2 linked regions of the Tribolium castaneum genome follow. The protein of the gene in region 2 binds, or shares a complex with, the protein of the main gene of each other region. Links are inferred from orthologs where the notes say so. Each region holds a gene or a part of one and is shown on either strand. Other genes may lie near its edges.

Region 1 (3,966 bases), on a different chromosome or scaffold from region 2:
GGCTCTGAAGCTCACACTTAAAATAACCTTGAAGACCTGTACAAATCATTAACTCCGTTCCGGACACGACGTCTGTGGCATCCTGCCTTTGGCCCCCACGCCGTCCGCCCCCAGGGCCGTGTGCACCACGATGCTGGGCTGGCCGGGGGAGGGGGGGTGCACCTCGTGCGACGCCCCCGGCGTGAGGGTGGCCAAAGCTGCAAGAAGGTCATGATTGATAATGGGCTCACCTTCCGGCCGGGGCTCCCAGTCGAGGGGGGGCGACGCCGGCGGCGAGATTAGGAACTGCTTGAAGGGGGCTGGCGGCTGCAGGCTGGGGTTTTTGACGGGGGTGACGGGTTGAGCAAAGTAACACGTAATCACTGAGTCGTTGATTTTGTATTGGTGGAGCTGAATGCGGGCGCTGGCGGCTGCCACGGGCGTCTGGAAGTTCACTCTCAGTCTTCGGAAACTGCGCAGCCACTGGAATGTCACGTCCGGGTCGAAGTTCCGGAACAGGTTCTCCATTTCGCGCTTTTTCTCTGCAATTTTACGGTCAGATCGGGTGAGGGCTGGGGGCGGATTACCGGGCGAGGTGAAGACACTGTCGTGGATGTTGGTGACGATGAGGGACGTCGGCAGGTCCTCGAACTCGTCGTCGGTCACATGCTCGGGGCTGTCGATGTCGGCCTCCGCCAGCAGGTTGGGGTGCACGTTGGGAAGGCCGTCTTGGTCGTTAATGATGATATCGTCGTCCATTTCGCCGTTGCTTTCAGCCATTGAAAAATTGGATTAAATTCACCGACACAGGATCTACCGCGGTTTAAACCCCATAAAACAATGCGCACTTTTTCGGCTAAACTAATCAAGGCTAACTCTTACGCTACTAAATTTTAACACAAAAACATTGCAATATCAAAGTGCAAAAAACACAACCCAACAATTGCAAATGCCAAATGTCAGGAATGAATGACACTTGACAAGGGGATGAAAGCCGAAAGTTCGCCAGCCCGAATTGAAATACAAAGGAATGAGCTTAAAAAAACGTAAAACCCTGAAATGGATAGATTTCCAGATAATTAACATAAACACATGAGCGACTTTTTGATTTCGTATTTTTTTGTACAGAAAACGCTGAAATTTTGTGAAATTGCCGGTGTATAACCTAGGTTTGAAGTTTGACAGTTCTGTCAATTCGTTAAGTTCAATTTGTGAATACATAAAAAATTGTAATTACTATTTTTATATAAATACTAACGTTAAATTTAATGCAGTTATGGCATTTTCGTTCGGAAATGCAAACCAGTCGACTTTTGGAAGCCCGGCAAATAAACGTAAGTTTTAGAACCGTAAGAAAGTTAGGTTAAGTTCTTTCTATTTTGTTATTTGGTATTCACGGTTTTATTTATTTTCCCTTTAAACCGTAATTAATGAGATTTAATTTTGCCCAAAACGCCTGACTAATGTTTGTGTTCTTAATTTTTAACCAGAAAAAATCGAAAAAGTGGCAGCGTTTTGTACCATTCAGACTCAACAATACAAATCACCACACTTTTTACAGATAAAATGTTAATTGGTGTTTTAAATGGTTATAAAATTTAATTGTGATGATTGTTAACGTGTGAGTAACAATTCAACAATTTTTGTTTGAAACAAATCGCTAAAAAATGTTTTGTTTAGTGTTTAACTTAAATTTTTTGTCACGTCTGTGCTGCACAGTACACAAAAGTAATTTCATTACTTAACTGATAAAACATGAAAAACTGGACGTGTTCAATAAAAAACCTAGATTATAATTTATAAACCAAGAATTTATTTCGGCAATAACATTTTGAGGATATAAATAAACCTACCTAAGCGAGTAACAAAAATATAATGATAGTAAAATATAACAGATTATCACAAATATAATTAATACGATTTCATTCTTCCGTTTGAGATGGTAACTTGGCTCAAATCGGTTGCACAATCAAGCGATCCTGAACGGCTGGCTTTATATCGCTTATAAACGACGATAAGAATGACGATAATTAAGAGCAGACTGACGATTATAACTCCCAAAACAACGTACAAAGTTTTTCCCTCAACGTCGTATCCTTCGTAATATATTTGGTTCGAAACATCCGTAGTTGAAGAAAATACGTCAAGTGGGGTTGAAGTTGTATTTTGTGTACTGTTTTTTATTTCGGCCACTGCTGAAGTGATGTTGTTTTCAAAAATACCGATTGTTTCGGTCGTACTGTCGGTCACTTCGGTTATCACGGTGGTAATCGTTGTTGTAATATTTTGAGAAATCTCAGGAGTGGTAGCAGTTTCTGCAGTAACCGTACTGTTGGTTATTTCGCTGATGAGGGTAGTAGCTGGGGGAGTGAAACTCTGCCCAATTTTGAGTACGTTTTGATCGTCTGTGACTTGAAGGGTCGTTCCAAAACTTTTAGTAGCCCCTTTGATAGGAAATGAGAATAGCTAGAATCGGAATTTTTAAATCCAACTTGAAAAATAAAAATTAAACTCACCGTAGGGCCCGACATTGTGCTTTTTATTAGCGAAGGAAAAACACTTAACTCTGCAAGAACTTATCGGCGACTGAAAGTTTCTTTCCACGCTTTGAATTTTTATCGCTGGTGTTTATATGTGCGAACACGGTTTTCCTGCTTTCCTTCCATTCGCAGTAAAATAACAACCCGGGGATGAGTCACAAAATGCTGTTTAATGCAATTTCTTGTGGTTGGGATAAATAAAATCCGTCATTTTGTGATAACAAATTGGGAAAGCGGCACTGCAGTCGAAAAAAACTTGTTTTGAAATTATCTACGTGTTTAAATTCTTTTTAAAAAATTTGACTGGAATGACACTTGAAGGATTGAAATAATTTCATTTATTTCGTGTTTATTTCGTTTTTGCATAAATTTAAGTCTTAACAACAGCGTATTTTTTGCACGATAAGTATTCGCATAGTTCAAGTTTGACTTGCATTTTTTACCGAGGAGTAGTTTCCGTTTGGTCATTTCCCCGTAACAAATACTTTTTTCATGGAAATTCTTTTCTTTTCGTTGAAACAACCCAAATAGAAAAATAAATAATTTCAGGATTGTGGTTTCGTAGCCATTTCCTTTGGAAAACTACAAATTTCGCTGAATTTATTCAATTTATTCGATTTTTCCTGAATTAAAACGCACACTTCTTATCGTCTTAGATTATTTATTAATTTTTGTAAACACCTAGTCATAGTTTTATGTTTTTCCAATGTTTATCCACAGCCACCGCATTCGGTACCCCATTTGGGGTAACCACCACCACGGCTAGTACCGGCTTCGGCAGTTTCGGCTCTTCCTTCGGAGCCACTTCGCAGCCGTCGACCGGTTTCGGCTCAACTTTCGGAGCCCCAGCTCAATCTTCAGGTTTCGGTAGTACTTTCGGTACTCCTGCAACTTCCACTCCAGCATTTGGTTCGACTTTCGGAGCCCCAGCATCAACCTCAGCCCCGACATTCGGTACCGGCTTCGGTCAATCGACCGGCGGCGGCCTTTTCGGTACTTCCACAACCAAACCAACCCTTTTCGGAACTCCCACCACTTCAACCTCGTTATTTTCGACCCCTAGTTCGGCCCCCAGTTTATTCGGGAGCGGTACCACCACACAAGCCCCAAGTCTTTTCGGGGGGGTCACCACCTCGACTCCTAGTTTATTCGGAGCTGGCAGTACCCCAGCTCCGAGTTTGTTCGGTACTGCGACAACTTCGGCCCCGAGTTTATTCGGGACTTCGTTCGGGGGCACGGCCACCACTTCGGGGGGGCTGTTTGGGGGGAGTACAACAGGGGGAGGGTTTGGTTTATTCGGGGGTACTACTACGACGAGTGCGCCGTCGTTGTTTGGGGGGTTTGGGGCTACGCAAACAACAGGGGGGTTTGGGGGTTTTGGGACTAGTGGAGGGTTCGGTCAACAGACACAAGGGAGTTTGTTTGGGGGCGGGTTTGGGGCCAAGCC
Region 2 (4,053 bases):
TGTGCAGTAATAAAATTATTTATTACGATGTGCGCGATAACCGAAAAAGCTCTTGCCGTTCTTTTCAGGATCGCGGTAGATGCTGAAATGTCTGCGCTTACAGTGTACTGATCTTTCAGCAGTGGCGATTCTAGTCTGCGTTGCTATAGATACATCCTGAAGCATGCTTTCAGGCCCGGACTTATAATGGAATTAAAACTTAATAACTGATATGATATGTGGTAGTATTTACTTTCAATTAACATTAGCATCGTACATGTTAGTTTTAAGCAGTTATGTAATTATATTCTAAATGTCTGCTGATGTACATTAAATCAATTCAGAGAGCACATTCAATGTTTATTATAAATTTAAGAACAATTTTAAGACACTATCCACCTTTAAAAAATGGCATTGTGTTAAACAAAGCAAAATTATTTGAGAAGTATTTCTTTAACACATTTCTCTTATTACGAATAATATTAGGCATACCTGCACTGGATGCTAACTGTTGATTAGGTGATTGAAAAAACGAATAAATCCCACAGTGGCATAAAACTGACTCGATAATAATAAAATATTGATAGAACACACCAATATGTTAACTTAATTTAAAATATTGAATAGTTATGGTCAGTGGCATTTACCTAATGCTGAAAAATCCGTAGAAGTGCAGCTTCTTTTCACAACCCTTTTACACTGAAATGCCGGTTGGTGATTCTTAATGAAAGGTCTACATCCCCATTTAATTGCATAACAGGTGCGCACCATCGTTAAAAAACTTTACAGCACAATACAAGTCTATTCTGCTATTTATAAATGTTACTTAATAAATAATCGATAAAGAAAGAATACACGTTTTAAGGATGTTAAGCCATTCTATTAACAAAACATTTCAATTTCGCGACGTCTGTTTCATCAGAGTACGGCGTTAATAATAGAAAGAACGAACTCGCAACTGGAAAAAGCGTCAGGTGAAGCTTCACCCACGCATTACCTTGCTATCTGGACGAATTATCGATAAAGCTGGAACAGCTTTCAAAGTGATTTCCAGCACGACATCGACGCTCTATTTTATGTTTACGGTTTATGTTACAATAAATCGATAAAAATTTAGTTGTATTATACGAAAACAAAACTAAGAAATATACATTAGAAGATATGATTCCGAAAACTGAAAAACAAAACGAACTTGGGGATTTGTTCAGTTTCAGTGCGTCGGCAATCAGAATCACTGAAACTGAAATCGTAAATTTTGGGTTGCCTATATGTGCTGAAACTAGCTGAAAAAGTGTATTTTGGGTTACATAAGCAGCATCGTTTTTAACCGTTGCATGTTTGTAGCGGCATTTTTTACAAGAATTACAAAAGTTCACGAAAATACGTTTTAAATTGTGTGTTTGAACATCAATTCAAGTAGGTTTTTGCCGATAAATTGCTTCTTGTTATGAAATACATCAATTTTATGTATTTTTGAAGGTTATATTGTTGTCCTAACCCAACTTTTAGTTTCTTGTTTTTGATTATTTTTTCCAACATTTTTAGAAATATCAACATGGGCGACTTTGCCGACCTCCTCCAGGAGGCTGAAAAAATCACTGTTGACATTGAAGGGAGTAAAGAACTGCCAAAAGTTGATAGATCTATTCGGCAGGTCTTGGAAGCTTCTAACGATTTATATTCAAAAGTGGCTCAAACTGGAGCAAAGGACATTCAAGCGTATGTCTTTGACTTATTCACTGTTAACAGAATTAAATATAACGTGGACGTAACAAATTTCAGGAATTTATTGTTAGGATCAAAAGGCGTAGACTTGCCAAAAATAATACAAAAATTGGAATCAATTAGTACCAAGCGCACATTCGAATCCATTGAGCCGGTTGAGGACGTAAATGCAGTCGGAATTCTTGAAAATGAAATCCAAAACTGCATTTTGAGTGTATTTGAAAACGGTTTCAATAAAGTAATCCATACGTGGTTCCCAAAGTGTACATACGCATAATTACATATTGTAGTGCATGAAAACAATTTCCGACTGCTCTTGGGAACACCAAACTGGCGAATGGAAACAAGAAAAACGAAAAATCCTAAATTCGATGCTGGGACCATCTGGGGCTTTCATAGAAATTGGAAAATATTCATCCGTTTTTATGGAGAGGCCTATTTCTATTACCCCCAACTTAGGAGTGGCAGAGACTCTCTATGCCGCCAAGATTATGGAATACAATCAAGCAATTGGCAGGAGCATTCAGAAGCCAAGTCTCATAAACAGCTTCATCAGCGTGGCAAATGACTTGAGAGACGCCGTAAGTTTTTGCCTCATTTTGATATCAGACAAAATTTTAATGACAACATACAGTCGTTCTTAAGCTTAAAAATTTCAGAAAGTTAAAGACATGTGGGAAATAATGAAATACATGACTCAGTTGCCGCCGTTTCCTCAGTCAGAGGATCAGATTAAAACTCGAAATTCTGCCCCTTTCATAAACGCTTTGGTGAAACAAGGCAAGAAATATCTGGAAGATCGGTAATTTATTTTTCTAATTCAATGAAAAAAGACCACAATTAGGTAAATAATTCTAGATATAAGACGTATATGAGTAACATCATTAACGAAAACCTATCAACTGCGATGCTTGGGGGAGTTCCCGGAACTTATCCCTTAGTCCGCAGTTACGTCGGTGTTCGCCTCCAAGGCGAATATTCGGGCTTGAAAGATGACAAAATCGATGGAAGGCCTTTATGGCCCATGGTCTACTACTGTATAAGGAGCGGAGATTTAGCAGCAGCAATTTATTGTCTAAAGAAGAAAAACGAAAAAGAGTTTCAAGACATTGTTGCTATTTTGGAAGCAAAACTCAATAATCCTGACAGTCCAGATATTTACAAACTGGAGGATAATGTGCGCTACAATTATCGCAGACATGTACGTAACGAAACTGACCCTTTTAAGCGTATCGTCTGTGCGGTGCTTGGCTGTTGCGATGTCGTTGATGAGCATTCGGAAGTCGCCAGAACCGCGGACGATTATTTATGGTTGAAATTGAGCTTAGTGAGAGCTGATTACGAAAAGGACGACCACATTAAGTACAACGACCTGCAGGTGTGTACACTATTTACTTTACCCAACACGTTTATTAGTTATTGTATGCAACAATTATTGTTATTTGCATTACTATGTCCAATACTTTCAAGAAAAAGTTATTTGTTTTCAATTTTTACGTAACATTTAGTTGTTAACGCTCGTATGTGTTTCCCACATTACGTAATACACTATTCCTTAGCGGATGATTTTGGAAGAGTATGGTGAAGCTCATTATGACGCCATGAACCAACCCCACTTATATTTCCAAGTGCTCGCATTAACCGGTCAATTTGAGGCCGCTATTGAATTTTTGCCCCGAATTGAGAGGTACCGAGTTCATGCTGTCCATATGGCCATTGCCTTGAACGAGTTGTACTTATTGGCTGGCTCACGGGACAGTTCAGCACCACTTAGTATGTAAAAGTTTTTGCGATTGTTTGTTTACTTATGATTTTTATTAGTTAGTATTGACCCAATGGATGTGAAACCAAGTCGCCGCTTGAACCTGGCGCGTTTAATTATGATTTATGTTCGCAAATTTGAAATAACTTGTCCTAATGAGGCGTTGCACTACTTTTATATCTTGCGCAATTTTACCAATGAGGATGGAGTGAATTTGTTCAAGATTTGTGTGTGTGATCTGGCTATTGAAACCAAGGAGTACAACAAGATTTTGGGGGTCATTCAGCCCAATGATATAAGAACCAAAGGGCTGATCGACCAGTTTACTAACGCTGAAATCAGTGCGGAAAACATTGCTCAAATGATTGGCGATTCTTTGGTAAAGAAGGGATTATTCGAGGAAGCAATAGATGTGTTTGATTTGGCTGATGTGAGTGATACTTTAATAAACAAATATCGTGTTAATATTTTTTTACAGAATCAAGAGGAGGTTTTGAATTTATTTTGCACTTTGCTGTCACAAGTGGTTCATTTGCCTTCTCAACCAAACTCTCTGAAGGAGAGATTGTTGGAGAAGGGAAATATTT

The links. Proteins that work in one complex are often made in the same cells at the same time.
Region 1: nuclear pore complex protein Nup93 (region 2) and Nup54 share a complex: the UniProt entries of both Homo sapiens proteins name them as parts of the p62 complex. The link is inferred for Tribolium castaneum from reciprocal best matches to the Homo sapiens genes NUP93 and NUP54.

Annotation. Positions count from the first base shown.
Region 1 is NC_087397.1:2,066,914-2,070,879, reverse strand, and holds the start of Nup54 (probable nucleoporin Nup54), read left to right. Parts: upstream 1-1,155; 5' UTR 1,156-1,255; coding exon 1,256-1,313; intron 1,314-1,769; exon of another isoform or gene 1,770-2,445; intron 2,446-2,495; exon of another isoform or gene 2,496-3,239; coding exon 3,240-3,966. Other genes in the region: sra (protein sarah), read right to left, coding at 49-521, 567-759. UniProt on the Homo sapiens protein: Component of the nuclear pore complex, a complex required for the trafficking across the nuclear membrane.
Region 2 is NC_087398.1:8,838,557-8,842,609, forward strand, and holds the start of nuclear pore complex protein Nup93, read left to right. Parts: upstream 1-1,247; 5' UTR 1,248-1,395; intron 1,396-1,524; 5' UTR 1,525-1,534; coding exon 1,535-1,698; intron 1,699-1,761; coding exon 1,762-1,942; intron 1,943-1,994; coding exon 1,995-2,285; intron 2,286-2,363; coding exon 2,364-2,506; intron 2,507-2,562; coding exon 2,563-3,082; intron 3,083-3,263; coding exon 3,264-3,477; intron 3,478-3,525; coding exon 3,526-3,896; intron 3,897-3,944; coding exon 3,945-4,053. Other genes in the region: vari (protein PALS2), read right to left, coding at 627-750. UniProt on the Homo sapiens protein: Plays a role in the nuclear pore complex (NPC) assembly and/or maintenance. May anchor nucleoporins, but not NUP153 and TPR, to the NPC. During renal development, regulates podocyte migration and proliferation through SMAD4 signaling.